Coturnix japonica: one gene and its partners. The protein of the gene in region 1 purifies or fractionates together with the protein of each later gene. This does not show direct contact. Links are inferred from orthologs where the notes say so. Each region holds a gene or a part of one and is shown in the gene's direction. Other genes may lie near its edges.

Region 1 (7,693 bases):
TTTCAGACAGAACCCAATGTAGACTTGAGAATGAAAGTAATTTCTAGACAGAGCTGGCAGAGGGATGACTGGGCCTGGTGAGAGATGTGTCACACAAATTCTGCCATTGGCACAAAGCAGCCTTGCTGGCAACTATGGAAACAAATGACCGGGATGGTATTTCAGTGATGGATCAGCTCTCATTATTTGTTCCAATGCAAAAAAAAAAAAATATGCAAATGGTTGTCATCCAGAATAGTACGTGGCAAATTCCAAGTGTTTGAGAGAATTAGGACAGAAAATCCCCAGAACATCTAAAACCCACTCTGGAAAAGTTGAACTTCTCAGGTCAAATTACAGTGGGCATAAGAAATCAGTTGTGAACTTGCATCTGTGAACAAAGTCCAGATTTTCATAATGGGGCTGAAATTCTCATCAGAACAGCGTAACCACTGTGTTTGTGTAGTCCCCTATCTGCAACAGTAACCAATGCTAAACAGAGCAGTGAGGGCTTACGATTTTGCTGGAGTGCTGAGCAGCTTGGAGCCAGCTCTCTGTGCAGATCACTCAGCCAAAACTGATCAGTTAAGACTGACTGGCTAACAAAATACAGAAGGTGAATTTATATATGTCAGTGCTTTGAGCATTTCAGATCTAGAGACAGACTAAGACAGCATTTTGCAAAAGCACCCCTTGCAAATACTACTACTACAGCTAAAGAATTACGTAAGTTTCATGTTGGAAAAACACTACAGAAATAGCTACTTTCCTCCTCCCAAGTAGGCTGGACTGACTCTTCTTCCCTTTCTGAAATTCATTCTCTAGGTCAGGAAATGCACCCTCCAGCTTCCTCTCAAAGCTGTTTCCTTAAAGATCAGAGACTTCCCTGCCTTTCCTCAGCAGATTGTCTGTGGATGTCCCCTATACAAACCTAGCCAGTCAAATATATGGGTCAGATCTGACAGCTGTGGAAAACCAAAACACAAATGTTAAATGACTTCCCAAAGTCAGTGGCAGACATGGGAGTGAAATAACACTAATTGTTATGAAACACTACATTGGAAGAGCAAAGATACTACCCAAAGCACACCTCTGCCACTCCCTCAGTTACATGAATGGCTTGTCCAACATAACCCAAGATGCCAGCAACAAAACCACAATGGGCACTCAGGACTCCCAAGCTCCAGTATAGAAACCATCCCCTAAATTTTATTGCTTGAGTTCCTTTTCAGCTCCTACTGTATGCAAATGAAAATCTTTTAACCTTCTCTCTCACTGCCCCCCTATATTCAGCACAATGTAGCTGCTTTATGCTAGAATAAATAAATAAATGGAATGCAGAGCTGTGAACAGTCAACACCATCTGACTCTGACAGCATAAAAACCACATCAGAGTTCACAAATAAGAGCCCTGGAGTGCACAAAATAGCAGCATTTTTGCCATTCTCTCTCTAGGCAGGTTCCTTACACTATTTAGATGAAATATGGATTTCCCAAACTAGTCACTTCCCTTCTGCACGCAGGTTCCATCCCAAGCCACCAAAGCAAATGTTTGTGCTGGCAGACACAAACAGCTCCAGTCCCAGAGGTCTGCTGAGGCTGGATGTAATTCTGGTCTGGGCTCCAGTGGATGGGAAGTGCTGATGTCAACCCAGAGAACACTGAGGAAAGGACACTCATCCATGAGAAGCAAAGTTGGAAAATTGTTCTATAAGAACAAAGGGCAGGGAGCTCTGCGTGGGGCCGCGCCGCCACCTGGCGGGGACGTGCGGGGCTGCATCTGCTCGAGCGGCTGGGGGCTGGATTGGGATTTCCATTCTAGCTTTAACATCAGCAGCTCCCCATGTCAAACAGGATCTCTAATAATTAAAGTAGCCCCATAAAACATTGCAAAAAAAGTGAGGAACGGTTTGAATTCCTTCTGCTAATATGAAGACATATCAACCAATGCATTATACTAGAAATTAGGCTGCCAACAATAGCCGTTCATCTACTAGCAACCACAAGTGAACAGGAAGCAGAGGAGTATCCAAAACACTCCATTGAGGCTGAATAAGGAAACTACCACTTAGTTTTAATTTAAAACCCAGAAGCCACTGACCATCACTACTTCATACTAAAGCCCCAGAGAAATCCTAGTAGCAATTGGATGGACCAGTATGATAGAAAAAGCATTACAAAAGAGATGCAATGATAAAAGGACCAACACAGTAGAAAGGTGCTATAAAGTAAGAGAAGATTGCTCACCTGTATCAGAAAATTCTAGGTTTGCAGCATAAAGCTTCACTAAGGAGAGATCTCCAGGAAAAAACCCTTTACTAGCAGCAGTCAGCCCTTAAATAAGGTCTAAGAGAGGTGCAGGCAGGCTGCATCCCCTCCAGGCACACAGCTGAATTGCCTTCACCTGTGCTCCCAGGGCTGACCAGTCCTTTCCCCAGCTGTTCAATCAGTGGTTCAGGCCGTGACTCAACACTTACCATACAGTCCTGAAAAACACAGATAACCAACAGCCAGCCAAAGCATTGGCAATATGACCATGAGAAATGGCAGAGAGGGAGTTCCATGAACACAGTGAGAGCTGGAGACACAGACCTGATGTTCCAAGCAGGAAAAGAGACTTCCATTCTTTGATACCAACAGATTCAGAAAATCAGTCTTGCTATTCTTTTTCCTAATTATGCTTATCTACATGAAATGCATATTTTATTTTACCTGTAATTCAATGCAATATTTTTAATGTACTCTAAGGGGTTTTTCGCCTCTCAACAAGAAATTATGTTTATTCCCATTGCACAAGCAAGATGAGACGATAGCTACTGATATAGAAATTATATATCAGCTGTGAAGATGCAGCCGACATAACAGCACATGCAAAAGTAATGGCTCAGTGACGTGTAAGGGCTGTAAAAAGAAATCACACCAGAGAATCACAGAATTGTAGGGGTTGGAAGGGACCTCTAGAGATCATCGAGTCCAACCCCCTGCCAAAGCAGGCTCCTACACCACGTCACACAGGTAGCACAGCTCTGCCTTTGGCAGACAGGAGCTCAGCGCTGCGCCAGCCCATGAGGGGGCGGATGCTCACGGAAGTGGCGTATGTGACAGGCGTTCCGATCAGCCAATTGTCGTGGCCGAGGTCTCTCCCCTTTCTCTTCGCAAAATGGCGGCTCCTGCTCCCGCTGTGGCTCCGGTCCCTCCCGCTGCCGCCCCGGCTCCCAGCCCCACGGCTGCTCCCACTACACCCACGGCGGCCGCGCCCCCTCCGCCCTCAGCCCCGGCGGCACCGCCGCCCTCCGCCCCGCTGTCCGCCGCGCTCTCGGGTCCTTTCCCCGGCGGCCGCGTGGTGCGGCTGCACCCGGTGGTGCTGGCCTCCATCGTGGACAGCTTCGAGCGGCGCAACGAGGGCGCGGCGCGGGTCATCGGGACCCTGCTGGGTAAGAGCCGCAATGCCGCAGCCCCCACTGATACCGCCCCACTGATACCGCCCCACTGATACCGCCCCACTAAGACCAATACCGCCCCACTAACCGCTGTCGTCCCGCAGGCACCGTGGACAAGCACTCGGTGGAGGTCACCAACTGCTTCTCCGTCCCGCACAACGAGTCCGAGGATGAGGTACGGTGTGGGGGCTATGGGGGATGTGCCATCGGGGCTCCTGCACCCGCTGACTCGGCTCTGTCCCCTTCCCCAGGTGGCTGTTGATATGGAGTTTGCCAAAAACATGTACGAGCTGCACAAAAAGGTGTCTCCCAGTGAGATCATCCTGGGCTGGTGAGTTCTATGGCCACAGGGAAGTGCGGGCAGTTGTGCAGGTCCCTCAGATACCTCAGATCTGTCATTGCTGTCAGAGGCTGGAAAGCAGAAGCAGCAGTGAAGTCGTGCCATCACTCAGGATAGGAAAGGATGCTGTCGCAGACTTAGAGCGTTTTTGGTTAGTCTAGAAGAGCTGTCACAGACAGGAGGGTTGGGAATGCTCATGGATCTATTAGAATGCAGTGATACAGTCTGTAAGGTAACTAGCTGGAGGGAGAACACAAAAGTACCAAAGGGCTGGTGGGAAACGGTGATGTTAGCCTGAACACAAGGGTGTTCTCTGAGTAAAGGTGGAAATACCTGTGATGGGGTGTTACAGGAAAAGAACTCGTTTGTGCACGGATAACTGGCCTCGTTTGTCTATTGACATCCTCTCTGGCCCCTTTCTATGGAACAAAATCCTACAAGCGCAGAACTCTTGGCTTCCTCAACAACCCATCATGGCACAGCAAGGTGCAGTTCTCATGGCAGTCGCTTTCCTGTGCATGCAAGAAGTTAATTGCGGAGCAATTGAAGGAGCGAGATGAACAAGCCCTGCCTCCTGCACAGGGGTGTTTAATTTGTTTAAGATTTACTTTGCTGGTCCAAATTTGCTTGGCATGCTTTGATTTATAAGGAAATAAAGATTTGGCCCAGAGCATAGTGACAAAAAACTGACTCTTTTTGATGGTAATACAACACTGACCCTGTGCATGTTTTGGGCATGTGTGCACTCAGCCTATAATTCTAGGAGAGCCATAAAACTACACATGACCTAGTTATAATACTAGTCTTTACTATGTGTCTGCAACTCAGTGCTTGGACATCAGGGTTTTAGAATACAGACCTGTTAAATACCAACAAATACTGGGCATTTGAACATTAGAAGAGTGGTCTTTCAACATTTGCTTTTTCCAAGGTACGCAACAGGTCACGACATCACAGAACATTCTGTCCTGATCCACGAGTACTACAGCCGGGAAGCACACAATCCAATCCACCTCACTGTGGACACAAGTCTCCAGAACTCACGCATGAGCATTAAAGCCTATGTCAGGTACATGGGGACAGGAACTGTCTGAATTACTAACAGATATTGTATCAGGATGGCACCTACAGCTTGATAGTGTTGCTTAGAGCCCTATCCAGCCTCGAATGCCTACGGGAATGGGGCATCCACCACATGTCTGGGCAACCTGTGCCAGTGCCTCACCACCCCTATTTTAAAAATGTTCTCTTTTTGTCCAATGTAAATCTCCCCTCTTTTAGTTTGAAACCATTTCCCCTTGTCCTATCACAACAGACTCTGCTGAAGAGTCTGCCCCCCTTCCTTCATATAGCTTCCCCTTTAGATATTGAAAGGACACACTCAGGTCACCTCACACCATTCTCCAGGCTACACAGCCCCAGCTCTCAGCCTGTCCACGTAGCAGAGTTGTTTCATCCCTGGGATCCTATTTGTGGCCCTCCTCTGGATGCACTCTAATAGGTCCATGTTTCTCCTGTGCTGAGGACTCTGCATCTGGATGCAGTACTCCAGGTGAGGCCTCACCAGAGCAGAGGGGCAAGATCACATCCCACTCCCCGCTGGCCACGTTTCAGGATACAGTTGGCTCTCTGGGCTGCAAAGCATGTTGCTGGCTTGTGTCCAGCTTAACATCCATGAGTTCCCCCAGGTCCTTTTTGGCAGGGCTGTGCTCCATCCTTACATCCCCCAGGTTATACTGATAGCAGGGGTTATCACGACCCAGGTGCACTTGGATTTATCAAACCTCATGAGGTTTACCTGGGCACACTGCTTGAGTCTGCCTAGGTCTCTTCAAATGGCATTTTATCCCTCAGACATGTCAGCTTCACCAAGAAGACAGTACTGAACTCATCATGCGCTTGTACTGATAAATGTCAGACCAGCTAGGAATATTTTTGGATGAAAATTTGCAGTTAATAATATACCTGTATTGATTTCCTGTCCTTGGTTATACATGGTATTAATATTGCTGATTTTACTGACAGTGAGTAACCTATTCGTGTTCACACTGTAGTGCTAATAAAGATCATTGAGATGGAAAATTATTTCCTTTCAGATGTGTCCATGCTGAATTTATGTGTTTTTCCTAGTGCCCCAATGGGAGTCCCTGGTAAAACTATGGGCGTGATGTTCACACCACTGACAGTGAAGTATGTTTATTACGACACAGAGCGGATAGGAGGTGAATGCTTTATTCCTATTTTGGGTCTAACCATTGTCGTGATACTGTTCAAATGCTGTTTGGTTATTAAGCCTGGTAAAATTACCACTCTGGGGGGGAATTAAACTGTCTCACTGAACCTGATGCTATCCTAGAGAGTATTGAACAAGTTAAAGTTTTAAGCTGCTTTCTGTGTCAGTCGGATTTCTCAGTGATCCTGGTTTTGCTTTCAGTGGATCTCATCATGAAGACCTGCTTTAGCCCTAATCGAGTGATCGGCTTGTCCAGTGACTTACAGCAGGTGGGGTCAGCCTCAGCCAGGATTCAGGACACCCTGGGTATGGTGCTACAGTATGCAGAGGATGTACTGGTAAGGCAGACTTTATATGAGACTGAAGATAAGTTTGACATAAGATTATGCATCTGTTTTTATGTTTTTATTACTGAGTTTTACTCATGCTGAAGTGTGTTTCTTATGCATAGTCTGGCAAAGTGGCTGCCGACAACACCGTTGGGCGTTTCCTGATGGATCTTATTAACCAGGTGCCAAAGATTTCACCAGAGGACTTTGAGACGATGTTGAACAGCAATATTAATGTGAGTTCATTGTCTGATTTCTAAGCGTATTGCCAGCAATTTTGAAAATATCATACAGACACAATTTTGTTTATGAACAAAACTACCTTTTCATACCAACACGGTCATAAAAAATACAGCCCTTTCTTGTCTCTAACTTTATGTTTTAAGAGCTGAAGGTGGAGAAGGGAGCTTAAGGATAACTAGTGACTTTCCCTGCCTTCTCTGCCTGACCTGAAGTTCTGTCTCATGACAGAGCACTTAAGAACCCAAACAAGGTTATATTGTGCTACTTTATTTCTGTAATGGATATTTGGAAAGCTGAGTTTCTGAATCTGTTATTTGCCCGTAGTCTGCAAGACCACAACTAATTTTTAATTTTGCTTCCACCCTTTGACTCTCCTGGTTAATACTGGTGAACTCTAAGTTAAAATTTCACAAGTGCTGCTTCATGTTCCAGGAATACCAACACTTTCTTCCTGTAAGGGAAGCATTCCTCAGGGTAGGACGTTCGGGACTAACAATAGTTCCAGTAGCTGATTGTAAAATGCTTTACAGGAGGCGTTAAAGATTCACATCTCCATACCAGGCTCTCATCTTTGTTAAAATTTCTGATGACTGTTTTTTTTCTTTCTTTCTCTCAGGACCTTCTGATGGTAACCTACTTGGCAAACCTCACACAGTCACAGATCGCTCTCAATGAAAAACTTCTGAGTTTATAAAGAAACTTCTGCCACCCTACACTTGAAAGAGCCTCAAGAGTGAGCAGATACACACTTCCATGGCGATGTTACAAATTCCCTCGGACCTTAACTTAATTACCTAAACGACTTGGTTTACATCTTCATTTCTACTTCCCTGGAAAATCCCTGACATGGTTTAGGAAGTGAATAGGAACTCCTGCAGTTTGGATGAACCCATTATTTTAAAATGGAATAAGTGAATCTTTTGCCTTCTGGGTTTATCAACTTGTGTAACAAAATACAGCTTTAATGTAAGAAATTATTTGAAATAAAGTTCAGTTGTATTGGCAAGAATACCTTCTGTTCAGAAGAAGACTCTTCTCATTTATTGTGTAGGAAGTATTGTGCAGTTTACCAGCCCTTAAAAGTACCGGAACACTGATGATGATACATTGTGACTAAAGGAGGTTATGT
Region 2 (7,191 bases), on another chromosome or scaffold:
GACAAAGATCCTTAATGGAAATCTGTTGCCTCAAGGTAAAAATAAGCATCACAGGCTTGGGAGAGATACAGAGAGCAAGTCTGTTATCATTCAGTGACCTGTGTAAAGCCAGGATGTTTTAGAGATCTCTGAGATGAGCAGTCTCCTCTCCCTGCGACACAGAGGAGTGTTGGTAATGGTTGTGATGGGAATACTGGTGTTTTTAGGTCTAGACTGGCAGCTTCCTCAGAAGATCTCATCTGCCACAGCACAACACAGAACAGTTACCTTGTTAAGACAGGCCCTTCAAGTAGTTTCCTGGCTTGTTCCAGCCATCTGTGTATTTCATTACTATATGCACAGGATTGAGCACACCAAAAGCCCAGATTGTAGCTCAGCTGCAGACAGCAGTTTGAGAAACTTGTAAGGCTGCTTTTGAAATGCCTTCAAGTTTGTAGGTGGTTAGAATTTTTGAGACATGCCTTAAGGGGTCTTTCTTTTGAGAAATGCTCTTTCAGAAACAAGTACTGTGTGAAGTTCAGGTAAGATCCCAAGTATGTGTCTTCTGCAGGTTTTATGTTACTGAGTCTAGTTGATGTTTAAATGGACATTGATGTAACTCTATGTAAAGGGTGTGGTTGCACACCTTCAAAACTCTGTTGATTCCATCACAGTGGAATAACAGTTCCACAATAACAGAGGGGATAACAGTTCAGTGCAGTACTTAACTCCTGCTCCTGAGGCTTGAATCCTTTGAGGTGTATTTACTTTAGCTGCCAGCTGAGGCTGTATTACCTCTTGAATTTCTCCTTGAATATTCACCATTCACCAATCTGCTCTCAGGCAGGGCTAACGCAGACCATTCCCATTCTGCGAAGAGATCATCACCTTCAGAGGTGCATTGGCCTGAATCCAATGTCCTTCCCCACCGCAGAACTTACTCTTAAGGTAAGTAAGCTGGCATATGTGCTTGTCCTCAAAGTGGGTACCTTGTCTGCTTGACCAGAGTAGTGAGGGTGGAGTGGTCTTTCTCCCTGTTTTTAGACACTGCTAAATCTGTAGGTATTTCCTGTATTAGTGAAGTATATTCGCTATTTATCATGGATGAAGAGGGATGAGTTCCAGCAGTCCTGGGTGCTGAAGTCCTCGTTAATTGTAAAAGTAAACATGTGGCAGAGCTTTCTGAGTAGTGACTGTCTCAATAAGTGAGTAAGGTGACTCATCAGTGATCTTAGACACCTGTTGTTTAAAAACAACAAAAAGCCAACAAAAAAGAAATACCCCTCCTTGCCACCCCGAGAACAACTTATCAAATATCCAGGGGGATACTTACCCTCAGGGAATGGATATGAAGCCACTTGATCAGAGATCTGTTAGCGTTCTACTCTGATTGGAGTGGGTTTAGACTGAATTAATAGTTTACAGATGAGCAGCTCTAGACCTCAGTATTATCCTCCATGTTTGAATTGTCTGCAGATAATTGTCTACAATTATCGCCCTTCATTTCCGTAGATGGAGTCTGCTCGTAAGGCTTGGGAAAACTCTCCTAGTTTACCAGAACAAAACTCTCCAGGAGGTGCGGGCTCAGGCATCCAGCCTCCTTCCAGTGTTGGAGCTTCCAATGGTGTCAGCTACAGCTCTTTTGGTGGAGTTTCTATGCCTCCTATGCCTGTGGCGTCCGTAGCACCTTCTGCATCTATTCCAGGTATGGAAAAAAAGAAACATACCTGGAGTCTGGTTCCTGGGTCCCAAAGGACCTCTCTTGAATGCAGTGAGAGTTCTTCTCATTTCTCAGTTCAAAATGGATAATGAGTCAGCCATTGTAGCTAATTTGTTTAGAAAACACTCTATTTCCAAGTTAGGTCATTTATTTCCCTCACTCCCACCCTGGCAAATTCTTCACCTCATTTTGTTTGGAGATCCCATGTTCAGATATGCAGGCACAGGAATGGTGTACTGCTTTCCTCTTGGTGCCGCTCAGGGTAAAAATGGCTTTTAGATTGCTTATGTGAAGGTCTCAAATATCCTGTTTGCCCTTTCTGTTCCTCCTAGCTACAGATTTGCGGTGATTGCAGAGCAGGTTTCTGGCATATAGGAAGAGTTTGGAGCAGAGATTGCCAGTTCCTGAGCTGTTAGTCTTAGTGGGCTGGTGGGTCTCTATTGGGTGCTGTGCCTGCACCTTAAATTACAGCCTCTCTTCTCTGATATTTAGGTAACCATATTCCACCCCTGTATCTGGATGGCCATGTATTTGCAAGTCAGCCCCGCCTGGTTCCTCAGACGATACCTCAGCAGCAAAGCTACCAACAAGTAAGGGAGACATGTAACTAGCTAATGTTTTTTCAAGAAGTCTTCAGGGTGATGTGTAAGAAACAGTGTTTATCTCTCTGATAGTCCAAGGGATCTAGTCCAAGTTCAGGTTGTGTATTAGGAAAAGATCACTTGCTAAGAGGGTTCTTGGAACAGACTCCCCAGGGACGTGGTCACAGCACAGAGTTCTAAAAGCATTTAGACAACATGGTTGGACATGTCATTTATTTTCTTTAGGTAGTCCTGTGTGGAGGGTAGGAGTGCAAGTAATTGCAAACTTGGTGCTCTGTGTGTGTACTACATTGGTCCCCTTATGTATCCATCAGATGCCTCTTGGAATACTCTTCTCTCTCAGGTGCCTGTGCAGTTTCTTTCCCTGCCATTGTGCTCCTCTTTTGTAGGAGGGGCTGTGCAAAGCTGCAGTATAGGTCATTGTCATGGTACGTTAACTTATTGAGGAAACTGATGGCTTTATAATAGCCTAGGAGAGATTTTGATTGCTCTTGTACCTCTCAGTGGTCTCAATTTCTTCCGTAGGCGGCTGCTGCTCAACAGATTCCCATTTCCCTCCACACATCCTTGCAGGCCCAAGCTCAGCTTGGCCTGAGAGGTGGTCTGCCTGTTTCTCAGTCCCAGGAGATGTACAGCTCCATACAACCCTTCAGGTAACTACAAGAACTGCTTACTGTTCTTGGAAGAACATACTGTTCCTTCAGTAAGAACTGAAGGAATGAGACATCCGCTTCAGAGTTGGGCTGGCTATGGGATTCATATATTCTCTACCCTGTGGTTTTTTTTTTATATTAAAGAGGGCAAGGGATCAAGGTGGTTCTTGCAGGCCTCAAAAATCTACTGGAGCTGGTTGAATCTTTTAATTCATGATTTCTGCTTTGCAAAACTTCTGGTAAATTGAGTCCTTCCTTTACTACTAAATCCAGAAGATACTGTGCAGAGTATTAATATGAACTTTGGATGGGACACACTGTCATTTTGTTGAAGACTCCTGCAACACAAGGACAGAATTGCTGAGAACTGTTTGCTGACTGGAAGCCAGATACCTTTTGTTAGGCATTGTGTTTGTAGTCTCCAAAGGTTTTCTACATAACAACTTAAGAACTGTTTTTCTTCTCCAGGTCTCAGGTGTATATGCACCCCAGTCTGTCTCAGCCCAGCACCATGGTCCTGACAGGAGGCACTGCTCTAAAGCCTCCATATTCCGCCTTCCCAGGCATGCAGCCCTTGGAGGTGGTGAAAACCCAGTCTGGATCTCCCTATCAGCCCTTGAATGGAAGCCAGACCCTGGTTTATGAAGGCCAGATAAACCAAGCAGCTGGTATGGGAGCCTCACAGATGATGGACTCTCAGCTTACACAGGTTAGGAGCAGGGCTTGCAAGTCTCTCTTTTATCACTTGTTTCTGAGACTGGGTTGTAACTAATAGCTGCGTTAAATCGTGTTTATATGAGCTCAGTTCATTGTAAAGAGGTAAAAGGCTTTTTCATGAGATTCTTCTATGAGCTGTTGCTTCAAAAATACAGCATCTTATTTAATGAGATTCTTACTAATTACTTGCATGTCCCCACTATGATGACCTTTTACACTGAGAGATGTCCTCACCCTCCAGACAAACGCTTTGTGCAGAATCAAACCTTGCAGTGCTTCCCAGGTAGAAGGCTCTGATGCGATGGTTGTCTTAAAAGTACTACTTCTAAGAGCCAGAGCCAGCAGGGTAATTTCAGCCTTAAGTTTTTGTTATTTTATCCCAAAGTGATGTCATGGTACCTCCCAAATGCAGCAGTTGCAATTACTGCCAGATAAATCAGAACAAACAGGAGGTTGTTGAGACATGAGCTGCTTCTTGTAAATACCCTTTAATTATTACCATAATCAAATTGAAATTCATTGCAGAAGATAGAAAGAGAACCATTGCTTTTTCTGGAGATGCTTTGGTGTGAAAGTAGAGCAGACTTCATGGCTGGGCTATTAAAGCTGCAAAAAGAGTGTCTGATGCTGTCAGATCTGTCTGACACTGCTGTTGGGTCAAGAGAAAAATTACACGTGCAGACAAGGAGGAAGATTGAAAAACTGGATGAAGGTTTTGTGCAAGGGGAAAAGTGCAGTTATGTTAATAAGCTGATGTGTTAAAAACCCAGCTGGCAGAGTGTCGGCAGTGCTACCAGCTCGTGATTTTTCAGTGTAAAATTTCCTCTTGATACATTAATTTGCATTTACCCTGTGCCAGACTGCACTATTTTTGAGATTCTTTGTAGCAATACTGTGCTTTCAGGATATTAGGAGAGAGCATCTCAACCCAATGCAGCAAACACTGCTACTTTAACTACATGTCCTTATCATACAGCTAACGATGCCTGTGCCTGGCTCCCAGCTTCCGCTGCCTCGTTATGGCTCTGGCCAGCAGCCCCTGATTCTGCCACAGTCCATCCAGCTTCCTCAGGGGCAAAACCTGTCTGTAGGAGCTCCCCGAAGAATTCTTCCTCCTGGATCACAGCCTTCAGTTCTTGCTGCCAGCAGGGAGGTGAGGATTAACTGCAGCTTTCCTCCTTGATCTTGCTTGTTAATGAAGAGACTAGCTTGCTGGGGATCCTTAAGTCTCAAACGCAATTACTGGTGTTAAAACGAAGGAGCCCTTTTCTTCTCATCTGGCACAGGCCAGCAGTCTTTCAGGTTTTACTGCTGGTCATCATTCTGTTTCCGGAGAGCCATATCTTGCCTCGATCCAGTTTGGAGTCTCCAGTTTTATTACGTGTTTACACAGGTTTCCCCAGAGTGCTTGAGGGGTGGTGAGCTCCAGACACAGTTGGAATACTGCCCAGATATTTCACACTGTTGTGAAGCTTTTCCATTTGAGTAGGTATATTAATGTCATGTCTGGCTTGATGGATTTGTATCATAAGTTTGTCTATTCTAGGGTTGAGAGAGTACAGCAATTAACTTCCAGGTTTAGAATTTGCTTGTGCTGCTGGCATGTTCATTTAATACAAGCAGATCTTTTTCACTTTAAACCCTAGTTTTCTTCATCTGAAAAATGTTTCTTCTTTTAATGGGCACATGGGTAGAAGGGCAGAAGTTTAGTTTAAGCATTCATATAAAGTAACAGACTTTCCCTAAAAGCAGAAATGATATATGCTCTTGCTCATTTTCCTCTGTAGTCCTCCCAAATGGAAATGAAAGGCTTTCATTTTTCCGATGGTAAACAGAATATGTCCTCTGGAGGCTCTGTACCATCACCACATGCATACAGGTAAATACTTACAGAATTTGGCCTCTGTAGTCAGAACGAGGGAGGAGTAGTGTTCCCCATTTGTGGCAACATGGTGCATATACATTATCCCTGTGTAAGGTCCACTTGGGTTTTCATGTGTAAAATTTGGTGTAGTCCAAATGCTTATATCAAAATGTTAACAGCTTTCGTTCTTGGTTAGGGACCAGTGTGTCTCTGATGTGGTCATTGATGCTTGTGGGAACTGTCTAAAGTTATTTGTTTTCAGCATTATTGAGGCAAATTGGAATTCTGTTTTTGTATGTTTCTCTTTAGGTAGAAAATTGGAATCACTGAGTAGATATTTTAGTTCCAACATGGTCTCATCTTTTCAAGATGAGAGTCAGTAATATGCAAACGTTCCTTCAGGTCACTAAGGTCTCCTTGAGACTTTCAATACTTCTAAGAAATCCATGTGTTTTCTTTTGAGCTGAATTCATGTGTTCAGACTCATGCTCTGTCTGTTGTTGCTTTTTGCTCTTTTTTTTTCTTTCACACATGAATAAGGTTCTTGTTCCATTGTAGAATTTACTCCATGAATGTTGTCGACTCTTCGATTTCCAGGCCTAGCTCTGCCAGCCCAAATGGGAAGCCATCTGGACCAGCAGTTAGTATGGGCTCTGTGCAAGGACACTATGTGCAACAGGTAGTGTATGTCAGTACTTTGACCCAGTAGTGTCTGCTCTTCTATAGCATCACCCTTGTTCCTTGTACTTGAGAGAGTGACAGTGTAGTTAAGAAGTGGAAGTTATATTAATTGCAGGGAAAGCAAGAGAGTGGACTGAGTGGATGCTGTACTGAGCCCATGAGTAATGCTCGGTGATGGGAGGTCACGACAAGTTAGATGGTTGCATGTCACGTGGTGCTTATGTTGGATATTTATATGGGCATTTGAGATCCTTTGTATAAGGTGTATTATGGTGGCAGACAGAGAAGACAATTGAATTCTGGAGCAAATTTGATATCTTGCATGGATGTTGGTCACCGATGTTTTTTCTAATGCTTCTTTTTCTATATGTCAAAAGGCAAAGCAACGGGTGGATGAAAGTAAAGCCAATCTGGGAGCAGTAAAGCTGCAAGAAACTGCCTCCACGAGCCAGATGAAACCAGTGCGCACAGGAGCGATCAAACCTCAGGCTGTAAAAGTGGAGGAAAGCAAGGCCTAGGAGCACAGCTGATGCCCAGCTGGTCCTGCTGGCTGACAGGCCCTACAGCTGAGACTGAACCCCACTGGATCTCCTGAAGATCTCACCAGACCTACACCTGCCCCACACTGAACTGACTACAGTGACATCATCCAAGTCCCTCTCCTAGCAAAGCAGTTTGAAACAGTGGATATGACATTGACCTGCTTGCTTTGAAACAAACCAACCATGTGACTTTTAAGTGGCTTAAGCCTTTCTCTTTTTTTTTTCACCCCCATGCCCCATCCATGGGTAGCTGTGATAGCTCACTTGGCAAAGCCCATCCTTCTCCTTCCCTACTTCTGTCTCAGCAGAGTGGCAACTGAAGGAGAGGGGGTTACTTAGAGGTTTTTCATTTTAAAGGCAGCTGAGGTTTTTACAGAGAAAAAAAGCTATATCCTTGTTTATAGCAGAACTTTTATATGTTCTCTCACTTCTT
Region 3 (7,791 bases), on another chromosome or scaffold:
GTGGCTGTGGGCTTGGGGTTGTGACCCTTTGTGGGCCCTGCTGAAAGTGTGGCAGTTGGGTACAGCCCTGCTGTGTCCAGGCTGGTCACACTGACTTGGGCTTTTCTCCCTGGGAACCTGGGAACTCAACAGGAATGTTGAGTGCTGCAGCTTCATTGGGCACTATACTGCTGTGGGACGTGGATGGGGGCCTCACACAGATTGACAAGTACCTCTATTCCTCAGAGGATTACATTAAGGTGAGTGGCACTGATCTCAGCCCCATACTCACTTGGTACCAACCAGCCTGTCCTGGGGAGCAAGTGTAACCTGTGGGGTGACATGAGTCACTGGCTGGCAGGGAGCTCCATGTGGTGGTGGCTAGTGCATAATGGTGCCTCTGTTTCATAGTCGGGTGCCCTGCTGGCCTGTGGCATCGTCAACTCAGGAGTGAGGAATGAATGCGACCCTGCCCTGGCCCTGCTATCTGACTATGTCCTCCACAACAGCAACACCATGCGGATCGGAGCCATTTTTGGGTAAGGGTCTGCCCTGGCGTCCTTGGCTGTGTGGGATGGTGCAGCCATCCCTGACATTCCTCTCTGTTCTCCATAGGCTGGGGCTGGCCTACGCGGGCTCCAACCGCGAGGATGTCCTGACTTTGCTGCTGCCAGTGATGGGGGACTCTAAGTCCAGCATGGAGGTAGGGAGCAGAGCAGGGTGTGCTGCACGAGTCCCTGACAGCTCCTGGGGATGCTGGGGCTGGTTTGGGCTCTGCATGTCCTTGTGTGATGTGCTGTGCCCTAAGAACATGGCTCCCTCCCCAGGTGGCTGGTGTGACGGCCCTGGCTTGTGGCATGATATCTGTGGGCTCTTGCAATGGGGATGTCACCTCCACCATCCTCCAAACCATCATGGAGAAATCAGAGACGGAGCTGAAGGACACCTATGCCCGGTGGCTGCCGCTTGGCCTGGGCTTGAACCACTTGGGTAAGAAAGGGCAGCACTGGTGGTCCTGTGAGCTGGGACTGTGAGCATCTCTTGGGTGCCCTGAACTCTGTGCCTCTTCACAGGCAAGGGAGAAGCCATCGAGGCGATCCTGGCAGCGCTGGAGGTGGTGTCGGAGCCGTTCCGCAGCTTTGCCAACACATTGGTAGACATCTGTGCCTATGCTGGTGCGTTGAGCTGACCAAGGCTGAGGGAGGTGGGAGTGGGACCAGGCCTTCCTTCTGCTCATCCTTACCCACTGCTGACCTCACAGGTTCAGGGAATGTCCTGAAGGTACAGCAGCTTCTGCACATCTGCAGTGAGCACTTTGACTCCAAGGAGAAAGAGGAAGACAAAGACAAGAAGGACAAAAAGGAGAAAGAGAAGAAAGAAAACTCAGCTGACATGGGAGCACACCAGGTAGGAAAACCTGGGCTGGAACCTGCGGCCCAGGCCCAGTAGCTGCCCTGTCTGGAGTCAGACCCAGAGGAAGTGGCCCCAGCAGGATCCTCTGCTCTCGCTGTCCAGCTGGGCTGTAAGAGATTGCATTTGCAGTTGGTGGTCTCTGCCTGGCATTCAGTACTGGTGTCTCTGCAGGGTGTAGCAGTGTTGGGCATTGCACTTATTGCCATGGGTGAGGAGATTGGTGCAGAGATGGCCCTGCGCACGTTTGGTCACCTGGTGAGTGGCAGCTGGGGGACAATGTGGGGCTGGGAAGGGACCTGGATGAAGAGGGCAGATCTTCTCTCACATCTTGGCCTTGGTAAGCTGGGTTGTGGATGCCCCACCGTGCCCTTGCCCCTACCTGGGTTTTAATATCTTCTCTCTCTCTGTTCCATGCAGCTGCGGTATGGGGAGCCCACCCTGCGCCGTGCTGTGCCCCTGGCCCTGGCGCTAATCTCTGTTCTAACCCCCGTCTCAACATCCTGGACACCCTCAGCAAGTTCTCCCACGATGCTGACCCTGAAGTCTCCTACAACTCTATCTTTGCCATGGGCATGGTGGGCAGTGGTAAGCCTGGGTGGCAGCTTGTGTGTTATGGTGGGCAGCCATGGGACCAGGCCGGTGCCTCAATCCCTGCCTTCTCCAGGTACCAACAACGCCCGGCTGGCTGCAATGCTGCGGCAGCTCGCCCAGTACCACGCCAAGGACCCCAACAACCTCTTCATGGTGCGGTTAGCCCAGGTGATGATCCCACACTTGTGGTTGGGAAGAGATGGGGGTGGCTGTGGATGGGGGGGCCACCACGTGTTGCCCCACTTGTGCTCACGTGCTTTCTGTGCCACACCAGGGCCTGACCCACTTGGGTAAGGGGACGCTCACCCTGTGCCCCTACGCAACAGCGCATAGGGCAGCTCATGAGCCACGGTGGCTGTAGGCTGACTGTTGACCGTCCTCGTGTCCTTCCTGGATGTGCGCAACAGTGAGTAACGTGTCATAGAGTGTTTCATCCATCCCCTCCTTCCCACACTCACACTCTCCCTTTCATCCCCTTTCAGTTATCCTGGGCAAGTCCCACTATGTCCTGTACGGGCTGGTTGCGGCCATGCGAGGCCGCCGTATGTTGGTCAACTTTCGATGAGGAGCTGCGTCCTCTGCCTGTATCGGTTCGGGTTGGACAGGTGAGGAGCTGGAGCCTGATATGGGTGGCTGGGGGGGGTTATATCCCATAACTCCTCATCTCAGCATGCTTGCTCCTGCAGGCTGTGGATGTGGTGGGCCAAGCGGGCAAACCCAAAACCATCACCGGCTTCCAGACCCACACCACCCCTGTGCTGCTGGCACACGGCGAGGCGGGGCAGAGCTGGCCACCGAGGAGCACGTGCCCGTCAACCCCCATCTTGGAGGGCTTCGTTTTTTCCCCCATCCTGCGGCAAGAACCGCAATACTACGACTGTTGAGGGGGGCTGGGGGCTGAGTGGTTGGGGGGGGGGGGGAGAATGACTGGGGGTTTTTTTGGGGGGGGGGGGGTTGTTTTTATTTGTTACTGGGAGATGAGGAAATAAAGTCTGCGTGGATCGGTGCTGCTGTGCTGCCCTTCAGTTCTGAGCCTGTCCGTCGGGCAGCACCCAGCGCACCGTGCAGCTCCGAGGGTCGCGCTGTGTGTCCGTGCCCCCGCCGGTCCCTCCATTCACGTGACACGGGCGGGGGGCGGCGCTCGGTCTCGGTGCCGCCCGGTCGGTGTCCCCTCCCCCGCTGGTTGTGCCCCTCCCCCCGTGGTTGCGCTGCGCGCTGGCTCCGGAAATGGTCGTGCTGCGCTGCGCTGCGGCTGCGTCGGGCCGCGCGCGCTGAAGGAGACTGAAGGTAACGGGCGGGGGCGGGGCGGGAGCGCGCCGCGGGGGGGGGGGGGGGGGGGGGGGGGGGGGGGCACCGGCACCGGGACCGAGTGCGGCGGGGTGAACCGAACCGCGGCGTGGAACCGCCGGGCATCGCCGCGCCGCCGGGCCCCGCCGCTACCGCTACAAGCGCCGCCGCTACCACGTGGGCGCCGCCGGTCTGCACGCCGTTATCCGCGCTAAGCGCCGTCTCTCGGCCCCTCGTTCCGGTGTAGCCGGCCCGAGCGCCCGTTCCTTCCCCACGTGCCGCCGCCGTGCACGTGCTCCGCCGCCGGGCCCCGCCGCTCCGCCGCACGTGGCGCGCCCCAGCGCCCCGCCCGGGCCCGGTGTGAGGCCGCGGGGCCATGGCGGCGGGCGGCGGTGACACGTGTCCTTGGCACAGGCCGCGCCGCCGCGGGGGGGAGCGAAGCGCCGGGTGCCGCCCTGGGCCCCGCGCCGTGTCCCGCTCCGCTCCTTCCTCATCCCGGGGCCGCCAAGATGGAGCCGGCCCCTCCGGCCTAACACCCCCCCCCTACACACACACACACACACACACACACACACACACACACACACACACACACACACACATACACACCTCCCCTCCGCCCCGGGGTGAGTCACCGCCGCCCCGCTCTGCCCCGCTCTGCCCCCCGCCCGCAGCCGGTCGGGCCGGTCCGGGGCCGCGTCAGGCGGTGCTGGGGCCCGGCAGACGCCGCGGCGGCTCGACCCGGCCCGGGGGAACGGCCCCGTCATCGCCCCGCGGCGGGGGAGGAAGGACGGCACGGCGGGACGCGGGCGGCCGCACGGACACGGCGGGGGGGGAAGGCTGGAGGTGTCCGAGCCCGGTAGGCGGCACGGAACGGGCTCCGCGGGGCCTGAGCCGCCCTGTGAGCCGCGGGGCCCGGATCCCTTCGGGCGGCGCTTCGGGCCTGTAGGGCCGGGCCTGTGCCGCCTGCGGTGCGGCCTGAGCCCGCGTCTGGGGGCACCGAGCGGCCCCTCGGCTCGGCCCCGTGCCGGGGTTGGCGGCGGGGCGGGGCTGGGCCCGAGCGGGTCCGGGAGCCCGGCAGCGGGACCCGCGGCCTGAGCCGGCCCCTTGCGATGCCTCGGGCTGACTGTGTCTCTCCCCCCCTCTCTCCCCTCCTGCCGGCCCAGTCAGTCGGATGAAAGGTCTCTGCAGGCCCGATCAGTCGGCCCAGGTTTTTCCCGCGGGGGGGTGAGTATGGGGCGCCGTGCAGGCGCTTTGGGGCCGGGTTGTGGTGTCCCTCCCTGTGGGCCCGGCCTTGTGGTGGTGGTGGGCAGCTCGGTGTGTCTGTAGGCCCGGTGCCTTGGCTGTCCCAGAGAGCTGCTGCCCCTGCTGTACCTTGAATCCCTTTAGCCCCCCCCCATTAGCCAGCACTGTCAGTGCCCTGAGTATAGGATCGGGCCCCATCCAAGCACCTGGATGGTGTCAGGGCTGATGGCTGTATTTGGTGCTGCGGGTCCTTCTGAGGGTTGCTACCCCCACGCCTGGGGGGTGACAGGAAAGTGAGGGGGGTAGGCTGTGCCTTGCTCACCATAGGGCAGGGGGGCCAGCAGAGGGGCTGGGGGGCCGGCAGGCCGGCAATTGCTGACGCAGCCAGGCGTCGGGTTACAGGCACTGCTCGTGGGGCAGCCCTGCTGGCAGTGAGGCTCCCCCCCCTGCCCTAATGCTGCCATGGGACACAGGGACCCCCTCCATGGGCTGCAGCGTGGGGGGCACCTCCTCTCTCCTGCCCAGGTGCCCTTTGCACTCGGGCAGGAAGCGTGGAACATGGTGCCAAGTCCCTCCTGGGACCCAGCTGTGTCCCTGGAGGTGGGGGTGGTGGTGGTGGTGTGGTGGCATGGGGGGGACGTGGGAGCTGCTCCCTGCCCTCCCCGGTAGGCGTTTGCGGCATGAGCTGGGCTCCTGGCACCACCGGCAGGAACAGGTTTGGCCGGCCAGGGGAAGCGCTTTGTAGGTCAGCCGGGGTGGAGCCAGGGCACCCCGGCGTCAGCCTCTGTCCAACTCCACCCCAGCTCCTGGAGCTTCTCAGAGGGGCTGCGTGGCCCTGTTTTAGGATAGGAGATTACTGCAGGCTGTGAACACGATGCCATTTAGCTTATGCCTGTGCCTGCAGATAGCAAGGGGATCCTTATGCACAACCACATGAAATGAACAAAGCTCCACAGCCCACAGGAGGAGCCCCGACAGCCCCGCACCCTGCCCCTTCTCCCGGACTTCCACAGGTAATAGACGGCCCCTCCGATGGCTTTTGGGGGTGGGAGGTGCCCAGCTGCCTCTCTGATTTGGGATGAGGCTTCTAGAGGCTGTAGTGCCCACTGGTTCCCTCTATGCAGTCAGCGTTCCCACCTGGTCAGACGGCACCTGTGATTTTTAACCCGACACCGACCTCACAAATGAATACGCCTTCTCAGCCACGACAGGTAAGGGCTTTGCTATGGGGAAGATGAGGCTTTGGGGAGCTGGTTAAGATCTGCAGCCTCCTGACTGAGCAGCCCATGCTCTTCCTGGTTGGCCACAGCAGTGCTGGGGGCATGAGGATCCTGCCTTAGGGGGCTGGCGTGCACCTGCCCCCAATCTCCATCATGGTTTCCCTTCTCCCTGGCTCTGGGGTGAGGGCAGACAGCTCCTGCAGGGCACCCAACAAGTGACCGCTCTTTTCTCCTTCCTCCCCTTTCCAAACCTTGCTCTCTCCTCTCTCAGTTTCCAGCAGGGCCTCGTGCTATTCACCAGCAGGTACTAACCAGTCCCTACCCTGCATGCTGAGCGCCCGGGGCAGCCCCAGCACCTGGCGCTGCACAGAAACACTTGGGGAGAACGTGGGGAGCTGCACCGAGCCCCAGGGGGGAGCAGGCTGGAGGAAAGAGGTTCATTACTCAGTGGGATCAGCTGGAGGGGTTTCACTGCGGTGTCCCCGAGTTTCTTGGCTGCTTTTGCATGAAGTCTAGTGCATGTGGCTCTGCCTGTGCTAGTCCCAGCCCAGGCCTCTGCTTCTGCCTGTGCCCTTCTCCTCATCTTCTTCTTCCTTCTTTCTGTGGGGTGGAGTGTGGGGGGGGTCTCCTGAGGCAGCAGTTGTGTCACACTGCTGGCCTGTCCCTGACTAATGCAGTGCCCTGGGAGTGATAGTGTCTCTCTGCAGTGTACCCAGCATGTCCCTTAGGCTGTGGGAGGCTGCAGCCATGGTGGGGCTGGGACCTGACAGTGCCAGGAGGTGGACAAGGCCTTGTGCCCAGCAAGCTGGATGTGTCCCCCTGCATCCTGCCTGCAACGCTGCAGCTGTTGCCCCTGGGAGTTTGAGCAAAGCGCCTCATTCAGCTCCAAGGAACAGCTGGGCACAAACCTAGTGACATCCACACTGTGCTGGGTCCCCCTGGCTCCATAGGGACCTCCATAGGGGCAGGCAGCTCCCCGCGTCCCCCAGCATGGGTGGATCTGGGATGTGGCCATCACACTGGCAGCCTGGCTGCTGCTCCTCCATCCCACAGCACCACGCTTGCACTCCCACCCCGTCCCCTCTCACCACCCCATCCCCTCATCCCACCCCAGCGCGGCAGTGTAACTCCTGTCTCTCTCTCTTTCCCCTCTCCCTCTGTCTGCGTGCACTTGCTATCAGGGAGGATTCAGGTCTCTCCAGGTAATGCTTTCTCCTTGCTCCAGCCTTGCCCTGCACACCAGACGTGCAGACACCTCCTTCCCTGCTGCCTGTTCCCCAGCCCTGGGGTGCTGCCACCCAGTAAAGCAGTGCTGCAGGGGCTGCGTGTCCTGCACGTTGCAGCATGGCACAGTGGGACTGCAGGTCCCGGCATTCAGCGCGAGTGCCGGCCCCCATTGCAAGGCACGCTGGGACGTGCCGATGAGCTGCGTGCAGCCGTGGCCGGCTCCGGGCGCTGCCGGCCCTGCTGGGCTGGGAGTGGGCTGTGCTGGGCATGAGCTGGGTCGGATGGAGCCAGGTGGGCCCCCCACAGGTGTGTGGGGCAGTAGGGGGTGCCTGGAAAGGAGGGGAGGGGGTGTAAGGGGTGAGCTGCATTCTGGTGGGGGGGCTCCCCTCTTTAAATCTCCACCCAGGGGTGCTCCCTGTGCCTAGGATGAGTTTTGGGGTGATAGGTGCTGTGAACCTTCTGTCTGGGTTAGAGGGGGGGCCTGGCTCGGTTGCCTCGTCCCTTTGGCAGGGGGGTGCTATTGCTCTGGCCTCACTGCATCCCTGTCTCTCCCAAAGCATTTCTACCAGAACAGGGCCCAGCCTCCTGCCAGCGCGTCCCGCGTGCAGAGCAACACAACGGCCCGGCCTGGCCCTCCTGCCCATGTGTATCCAGCTGCTTCCCAGGTGATGATGATACCCTCCCAGATATCCTACACACCTTCCCAAGGAGCCTATTACATTCCCGGACAGGTGAGGGCTGTGCCCCGGGCTCTGCGGGATTGGGCTGGGGTGGGCTCAGGGTTGGAGCCCAAGTTTGTTCTGGGAGGTGGAGGGGGTTACCCTGGTTC
Region 4 (6,338 bases), on another chromosome or scaffold:
CGTGCAGTGCTTGGAGGCAGTGCTGTCATGCTGGCCCTGTGCAGTCACATCAATGTTCTGGTTTGGAGAAGCTCTGTGAGATTTTGGGGAGCTCTTCATGTTTTTGGACGTCTCCATGTGCTTTTGCTGACCCCCGTGTTGGTTTTGGGGAGCTTTGCATCAGTTTTGGTGATCCCTTTGTGTTTTTGGGGAGTTAAGTGAGATTTTGGGGTGCTCAACATGTTTTTGGGTATCTTCATGTGCTTTTGGCAATCTCTATGCCAATTTTGGTTGCCTCTGTGCTGATATTGAGGAGCTCTGTGCCAGGTTTAACAACCCCTGTGCCACTTTTGGCCACTCCTCTGCTGATTTCAGTGGCCCCTGTGCCAGTTCTAAGGAGCTCTGTGTGATTTTGGTGCCCCCTGTGCCAGTTTTACTGACCTCTATGCCAGTACTGGTGACCCCTGTGCCAATTCTGATGAGCTCTACGCCACATTTGGTGCCACCTGTGCCACTTTGGCAGAGCTCCTCACTGATTCAAGGCAGCTTTGTGAATGCAGGGAGCTCCGCATGCTCCCCTTGACCCCCACCCTCCTCCCCACATCCCATTGCCACCAATGGGAGGGGGGTCATGGGGTGCAGACAGAGCCATGGTGCCGATCTCGCCGCCCCCCCCACCCCGCAGCAGCCAAGAAGAAGAACAAGAAGGGGAAGACCCTGACCCTGACCGACTTCCTGGCTGAGGATGGCGGCAGCGGTGCACCCACCTACATCCCCAAGCCGGTCAGCTGGGCTGATGAGACCGATGACCTGGACGGCGACGGTAGGGGTGAGAGCGAGCCTAGGGCAGATACCGTCTGTTTTTGGGGGGCTACCATCCATGTTGAGGGGTCACAGTCTGCATGAGTTGGCCACCATCTATGTGGGGTGGCCACTGTGTATAACACATGACCACCATCTAGATGATGTGGCCACCACCTCTAGCCCACGGCCACCACCTCTTTGCTCTGGCCAAGCAGCCCATGGCCACCACCTCCACATTGTGCCCACCCTCTTTAGCCCATGGCCACCACCCCCATGTTTTGGCCACCCTCCCCTGCAGCTCTTGGCCACCTCCTGCAACACATGACCACCACCTCCACGCAGTAGCCACCCCCTGCATCCCATGGCCACCTCTTTTAACCCACCACCTCCACGCCATGCCCACCTCCTTCAGCCCACCCATTCTCTCCCACAGTCTCCACTGCGTGGCACAGCAATGATGATGATGTGTACCGGGCACCGCTGATCGACCGCTCGCTGCTGCCCACCGCCCCCCGCGCCGCACGCGAGCCCAACATTGACCGCAGCCGCCTGCCCAAGTGCCCGCCCTACACGGCCTTCCTGGGCAACCTGCCCTACGATGTCACTGAGGAATCCATCAAGGACTTCTTCCGGGGCCTCAATGTGAGTTGCATGGGGGGCACAGCACAGTGGGGTCCTTGAAGATCATAGAATCATGGGATGGTTGGGATGGAAACATCCTGAGAGATTATCAAACCATAGGATGATTGAGTTGGAAGGGTCCTTACAGATCATAGAACCATCTGATGGCTTTGGGTTCTACCAGATGGATTAAATGGGGCCAACAGGCTCACAGACAACCCCATGGTTTTGCTTCTGACCACAGGACAGTGGCCCTAACACGTTCCTTCCTCCTCCTCTTTCCTCCCTGCAGATCAGTGCTGTTCGCTTGCCGCGGGAGCCCACCAACCCGGAGAGGTTGAAAGGTTTTGGCTATGCTGAGTTTGAAGATATTGACTCCTTGTTCCAGGCGCTGAGCCTCAATGAGGAGGTGAGCTCAGGACCCCAAGTGTCAGCAGCAGGGCAGGCTCTGCACAGCCTAGGAGGCATCAAAGTGGCACCACCAAGTTTGGATCTCTCTGGGGCTGGCAGATCTGTGTGGGGAGGGCTGAAATGGGGCAGAATGTTGCCTTTAGGACCCCCAGGAGAACAGAATGTTGCCTTCAGAGTCCAAAGGAGAGCAGAACTTTGCCTTTAGGGCCCTAAGGAGAGCAGACTTTTGGCTTTTGGTTCTCCAGGAGAGCCCTGATGGTGCACAACCCGCCTACTCTGTGTTAAAGCATCACCTCAGTGTTGGCTCTCACTGATCCCTTGGGGTTGGGGCCAATATTTGGAGGTTGAGGCTGATTCCTTGGGTCTGATTCCTCGCTTTTTCTTTTTTTTTTTGCCCAGTCTCTAGGAAACAGAAGGATACGAGTGGATGTTGCTGACCAAGCTCAGGATAAAGGTGAGTCCCTGTCACACGATGGTACAGCACTGTGTGGTTCCAGAACGTCAGTGCTCCCTGCCACATGTGGGGTGCTGCACTATGCTCTGTCCCCAGCCCCAGTCTGATGCCACTTACTCTCCTCTCCCCTCCCCCTTTTCCTATTCCCTTTTCCCTTCTCTTTTCCCATTCCCATTCCTTTTCCCCTTCCCCTTTTTGCATTCCCTTGCCATTCCTCTTTCCTTTCCCTTTCCCCCTCCCTTTTTCTCTTCCCTTTTCCCCTTCTCTCTCCCTTTTCCCTTCCCCATCCCATCCTTCAGACCGGGACGATCGCTGTTTCGGACGGGACCGGGATCGTTTCCGGGACTCTGAGAGGTTTGAGAGCGACTGGCGTGCACGTCCCGCCGCCTCCGACAGCTTCGATGATTACCCACCGCGCCGTGGGGACGACGCCTTTGGGGACAGTGAGTCGGGATCAAGGCAGGAACAGGGACCCCTGGATGTGGGGTGCCGTGAGCCCTGACCCCACTGCCGGCCCCATTGTGTAGGGTATCGGGATCGCTATGATGATCGGTATCGCGACGGCCCGCGACGCGACATGGACCGTGGCTTTGGAGGCAGAGATCGCTACGATGATCGCAGCAGAGACTATGACCGGGGTGAGGCAGTGCTGCCACATGGGGGTGGGAGTGGAGATATGGGGAAATCCCAATAGTTGAGGGTGAATCCCAATAGCTGAAGTTTAATCCCAGTACTTGAAGGTGAATTGCAGTATCTGAGGGTGAACCTCAACACCTGAGAGTTAATCCCAGTATTTGAGAGTGAATCAAAATACCTGAGAATTAATCCCAGTATCTGAGGGTTAATCCCAATACCTGGGAGTGAATCCCAATATCTGAGTGTGAACCTCAGTACCTGGGTGACAGTCCCAATAGTTGAGGGCGAATCCCAATATTGAAGCTTAATCCCTATATTTGAGGCTGAAACCCAATAGCTGAGGTTGTGTCCTTGTATCTGAGGGTGAATCCCAGTGTCTGAGGGTGAATCCCAATAGCTGAGGGTCAACTCCAGCATCTTGAGGGTGACTCCCATTTACCTGTGGGTGACTCCCAATGGCTGTGGGTGAGTCCCCACACTGTGGGCACAGGGGGGCTGAGCTCTGCACCCCCCAGGCTACAACTCGCGCATCGGCAGTGGCCGAAGGGCCTTCGGCAGTGGCTACCGCCGCGATGACGACTTCAGGGGTGGCAGCGACCGCTATGAGGACCGCTACGAGAGGCGCGACGAGCGCTGGGGAGGGAGAGAGGAATACGGGAGGGATGAGTTCCGGCGTGAAGAGAGGGGTAATGGGGGCAGGGGAGGGGTAGGGCTTGGGGTGGTGGGTGGGAGGGGATGGAGGATGTGGGGTATGGGGTGGGGGTGTAGGGGGATTTAGGGTGTGGGGTGGGATGAGGGGTGTAGGGGGATACAGGATGTGGGGTTATGGGTGGGGGTGGAGTGACATTTAGGAGATGGGGTTGGGATTGGGGGGTGTAGAGGAATGCAGGATGGGTGGTGTAGGGGAATGCAGAATGTAGGATGGGTGATGTGTGTTTTGGGGTAGGGGGTGTTGGATGGGGGGCTGTAGGAGAATGTGGGATTGAGGGCACAGGATATGTGGACAGCTGCAGGATGCATTGTGTATGGGATGTGGGGGTGTTGGATACCCCCCAGCCCCATTTGCCACCCCACAGGCCCCACGCAGCGCCCCAAGCTGAACCTGAAGCCGCGCAGCGCTCCGAAGGAGGAGGAGAGCACAGCAGCCCCTGCACCGCAGTCCAGCCGCGCCGCCTCCATCTTCGGGGGGGCCAAACCCGTGGACACGGCCGCCCGCGAGCGCGAGGTGGAGGAGAGGCTGCAGAAGGAACAGGAGAAGCTGCAGCGGCAGCTGGAGGACGACAAGAGGCTGGAGCGACGGCCCCGAGAGCGGTGGGGGGACGCGGTGTTAGGGGGGCGCTGGGGGGTGGGCAGAGCTCTGCAGGCTGCCACGCTGAGCCGCATCCCCCCTCTCGCCCCCCACCTCCAGGTACCCCAGCAGCCGCAGTGAGGACAACCCCGAGCGGTCGCGGACGGGCAGCGAGTCCTCGCAGAGCGGAGCTGCCGGACCCCCCGGCACCACCGCCGGCACCGGCCCCACCGGCAGGAGTAAGTGTTGGGCAGGGGGCTGGGAATGGGAGACATGGGGGGTCTCATCTCCAGCCCTGCCTACCGCTGTGTGACCCCCCCCCCCCTGCAGCCACACGGAGGAGGGAGAGTGAGAAGTCGGTGGAGGGTGAGGAGGAGGGTCGTGAGGAGAAGCAGCCATTGAAGGTGATGCCCGCACCCCCCCCAAAGGAGAACGCGTGGGCCAAGCGCAGCAGCAGCACCGCCGGGCGCTCCCCGGGCTCTGACTCTGAGCAGCACTCACCCAGCAGGTGAGGGGTGAAGGGGGCCTTGCTATGGGGCTGGGAGCCTGGAGTGTTGTGCTGGGATCTCAGCACGAGGCTGGGAGCCCAAATGGTTCCCTGAGAGCTTGGTGTGGGGCTGGGAGCTCCAGGTGTTTTCCCTGCAGGGGTTGGGGGGCAGAAACCCAGATCTTCCCCTGCAAGGTTGGTGTGGGGCTGGAGCTCCTGCGATCAGTCCCCTATAAGGCTGATCACCCCCCACATTCTGATTCATTGTTGACCCCCATATCTGATCCCAGTGGCCAATGCCAATGGGGGATCCCCATATCTAACCCCACGGGACCAGCCCCAGTGGTGGACCCTCGTATCTGACCCCCATATCTGATCCCAATAGCCAACCCCAATGATTGACCCCCATATCTGACCCCACACCTGTCCCCCTTTCTCACCCCACTGTGACCCTCTGTCCCCCCAGCAGCCAGACGGCTTCCCGCCCACCTGCAGAGAACGGGGCTGCCCCGAGGAGCACCCACCGGAGAGGTGAGGGGGGCAGGCAGTGGGATGGGGGGCACAACTGTCCCCTTGGTGGCACTGAGGTTGGGGGGGGGACACAGCGTCCTCAGCCCATGGTCGTGTCCCCTCCCCAGGAGATGAGAACAAGCCGGATGGGGGCCGGGATGGCCCAAAGGCGCGCAGTGGGAGCTCAGCTGAGAGGTGAGAGCAGCTCATTAGGGTTAATGGGGGGGTGCCACCCCGTGTCACCCCGCTCAGTGACCTCCCCATCCCTCCCCAGGAAAGACAGCCGCAAGGAGCACGAGGCGAGAGCTGCGCCTGAGCCAAAGAGACTGGAGGACAGCCCAGCCACCGTGAGTGGGGAGGGGGAGCCTGACAGGAGCTGGGGGTGATCCCAGAGGGATTGGGTGGGAACTGGGGCTGATGGGACCTGACAGGACCTGTGACCATAATGGGACCCAACAGGACCTGGGTGTGAACCCAATGGGATTGGGTGGGACCTGGGTCTGATTCATTGACATTGGGTCCCGTAAGGGACCTGATGGGACCTGGGTGTGACCCCAGTGGGATTGGATGGGGCTGGAGGCAATGCCACACTCAGGCTGAGCTATGGAGCACAGCCCCAGGCTTTTGGCTTTGGAGCTTTGGGGGTTTTATGGGTTTTTCTATGGATATGGGGCTTTGGAGACCTTATAGGGCTTTGGGATTCGGGGCTTTGGGATTCAAGGCTTTGGGATTTAGGGCTTTTTGGTGGTTGGGGGCTATTGGGGGTGGGTGTGTTTGCCTGGTTGTGGGGCAGAGCTCAGCCCCACGGCGCTGCTCCTCACCCCACAGTTCAGCCACGCCAGCAAGTACGCAGCGCTGTCAGTGGACGGCGAGGAGGAGGAATGCGGCGAGTGACGGCCCGTCCCCCAACCCCAGCGCCGAAATGGAACGGAAAACCCAGCGCCGCCCCGTCCAAATCAAGCCAAGAATCAGCAAAAGGAGGGGAAAAAAAAGGAGGAAAACTGACCCGGCCGGACCCCAGCGCTCCACCCTGCTGCCTATGGGGGTTGCTGGGGGGGGTTGGGGGTCCATGGGGGGGTTCTGGCCCCACATCAGCCCCCCATCACCCCCTCCCTGCCCCGTTGGGGTGGTTGTGGGGCTGCGGCGCC

What was found.
Region 2: the proteins of EIF3F (region 1) and PRRC2B purify together in Homo sapiens (affinity purification with mass spectrometry; 3 studies listed by BioGRID and IntAct, counting the BioPlex papers as one, with this or other methods). This does not show direct contact. The link is inferred for Coturnix japonica from reciprocal best matches to the Homo sapiens genes EIF3F and PRRC2B.
Region 3: the proteins of EIF3F (region 1) and EIF4G1 purify together in Homo sapiens (affinity purification with mass spectrometry; 3 studies listed by BioGRID, with this or other methods). This does not show direct contact. The link is inferred for Coturnix japonica from reciprocal best matches to the Homo sapiens genes EIF3F and EIF4G1.
Region 4: the proteins of EIF3F (region 1) and EIF4B purify together in Homo sapiens (affinity purification with mass spectrometry; 3 studies listed by BioGRID). This does not show direct contact. The link is inferred for Coturnix japonica from reciprocal best matches to the Homo sapiens genes EIF3F and EIF4B.

What each region holds. Positions count from the first base shown.
Region 1 is NC_029521.1:13,753,123-13,760,815, reverse strand, and holds EIF3F (eukaryotic translation initiation factor 3 subunit F), read left to right. Parts: upstream 1-3,117; 5' UTR 3,118-3,139; coding exon 3,140-3,413; intron 3,414-3,523; coding exon 3,524-3,594; intron 3,595-3,670; coding exon 3,671-3,750; intron 3,751-4,690; coding exon 4,691-4,828; intron 4,829-5,889; coding exon 5,890-5,981; intron 5,982-6,193; coding exon 6,194-6,330; intron 6,331-6,443; coding exon 6,444-6,557; intron 6,558-7,180; coding exon 7,181-7,258; 3' UTR 7,259-7,575; downstream 7,576-7,693. UniProt on the Homo sapiens protein: Component of the eukaryotic translation initiation factor 3 (eIF-3) complex, which is required for several steps in the initiation of protein synthesis.
Region 2 is NC_029532.1:4,782,086-4,789,276, forward strand, and holds part of PRRC2B (protein PRRC2B), read left to right. Parts: intron 1-822; coding exon 823-927; intron 928-1,491; coding exon 1,492-1,684; intron 1,685-2,191; coding exon 2,192-2,289; intron 2,290-2,826; coding exon 2,827-2,954; intron 2,955-3,422; coding exon 3,423-3,663; intron 3,664-4,647; coding exon 4,648-4,824; intron 4,825-5,064; exon of another isoform or gene 5,065-5,156; intron 5,157-5,458; coding exon 5,459-5,550; intron 5,551-6,093; coding exon 6,094-6,214; intron 6,215-6,593; coding exon 6,594-6,734; 3' UTR 6,735-7,191.
Region 3 is NC_029524.1:13,908,454-13,916,244, forward strand, and holds the start of EIF4G1 (eukaryotic translation initiation factor 4 gamma 1), read left to right. Parts: upstream 1-3,151; 5' UTR 3,152-3,270; intron 3,271-4,109; exon of another isoform or gene 4,110-4,129; intron 4,130-4,436; 5' UTR 4,437-4,497; intron 4,498-5,419; 5' UTR 5,420-5,453; coding exon 5,454-5,528; intron 5,529-5,639; coding exon 5,640-5,726; intron 5,727-6,006; coding exon 6,007-6,039; intron 6,040-6,916; coding exon 6,917-6,937; intron 6,938-7,150; exon of another isoform or gene 7,151-7,229; coding exon of another isoform or gene 7,230-7,268; intron 7,269-7,519; coding exon 7,520-7,693; intron 7,694-7,791. Other genes in the region: PSMD2 (26S proteasome non-ATPase regulatory subunit 2), read left to right, coding at 133-239, 391-518, 595-682, 807-969, 1,053-1,154, 1,241-1,386, 1,564-1,647, 1,810-1,977 and 1 more.
Region 4 is NC_029544.1:1,099,225-1,105,562, reverse strand, and holds part of EIF4B (eukaryotic translation initiation factor 4B), read left to right. Parts: intron 1-664; coding exon 665-808; intron 809-1,216; coding exon 1,217-1,425; intron 1,426-1,696; coding exon 1,697-1,813; intron 1,814-2,214; coding exon 2,215-2,269; intron 2,270-2,568; coding exon 2,569-2,712; intron 2,713-2,796; coding exon 2,797-2,907; intron 2,908-3,420; coding exon 3,421-3,591; intron 3,592-3,981; coding exon 3,982-4,216; intron 4,217-4,313; coding exon 4,314-4,432; intron 4,433-4,523; coding exon 4,524-4,701; intron 4,702-5,146; coding exon 5,147-5,211; intron 5,212-5,318; coding exon 5,319-5,385; intron 5,386-5,464; coding exon 5,465-5,537; intron 5,538-6,018; coding exon 6,019-6,084; 3' UTR 6,085-6,338. UniProt on the Homo sapiens protein: Required for the binding of mRNA to ribosomes. Functions in close association with EIF4-F and EIF4-A. Binds near the 5'-terminal cap of mRNA in presence of EIF-4F and ATP.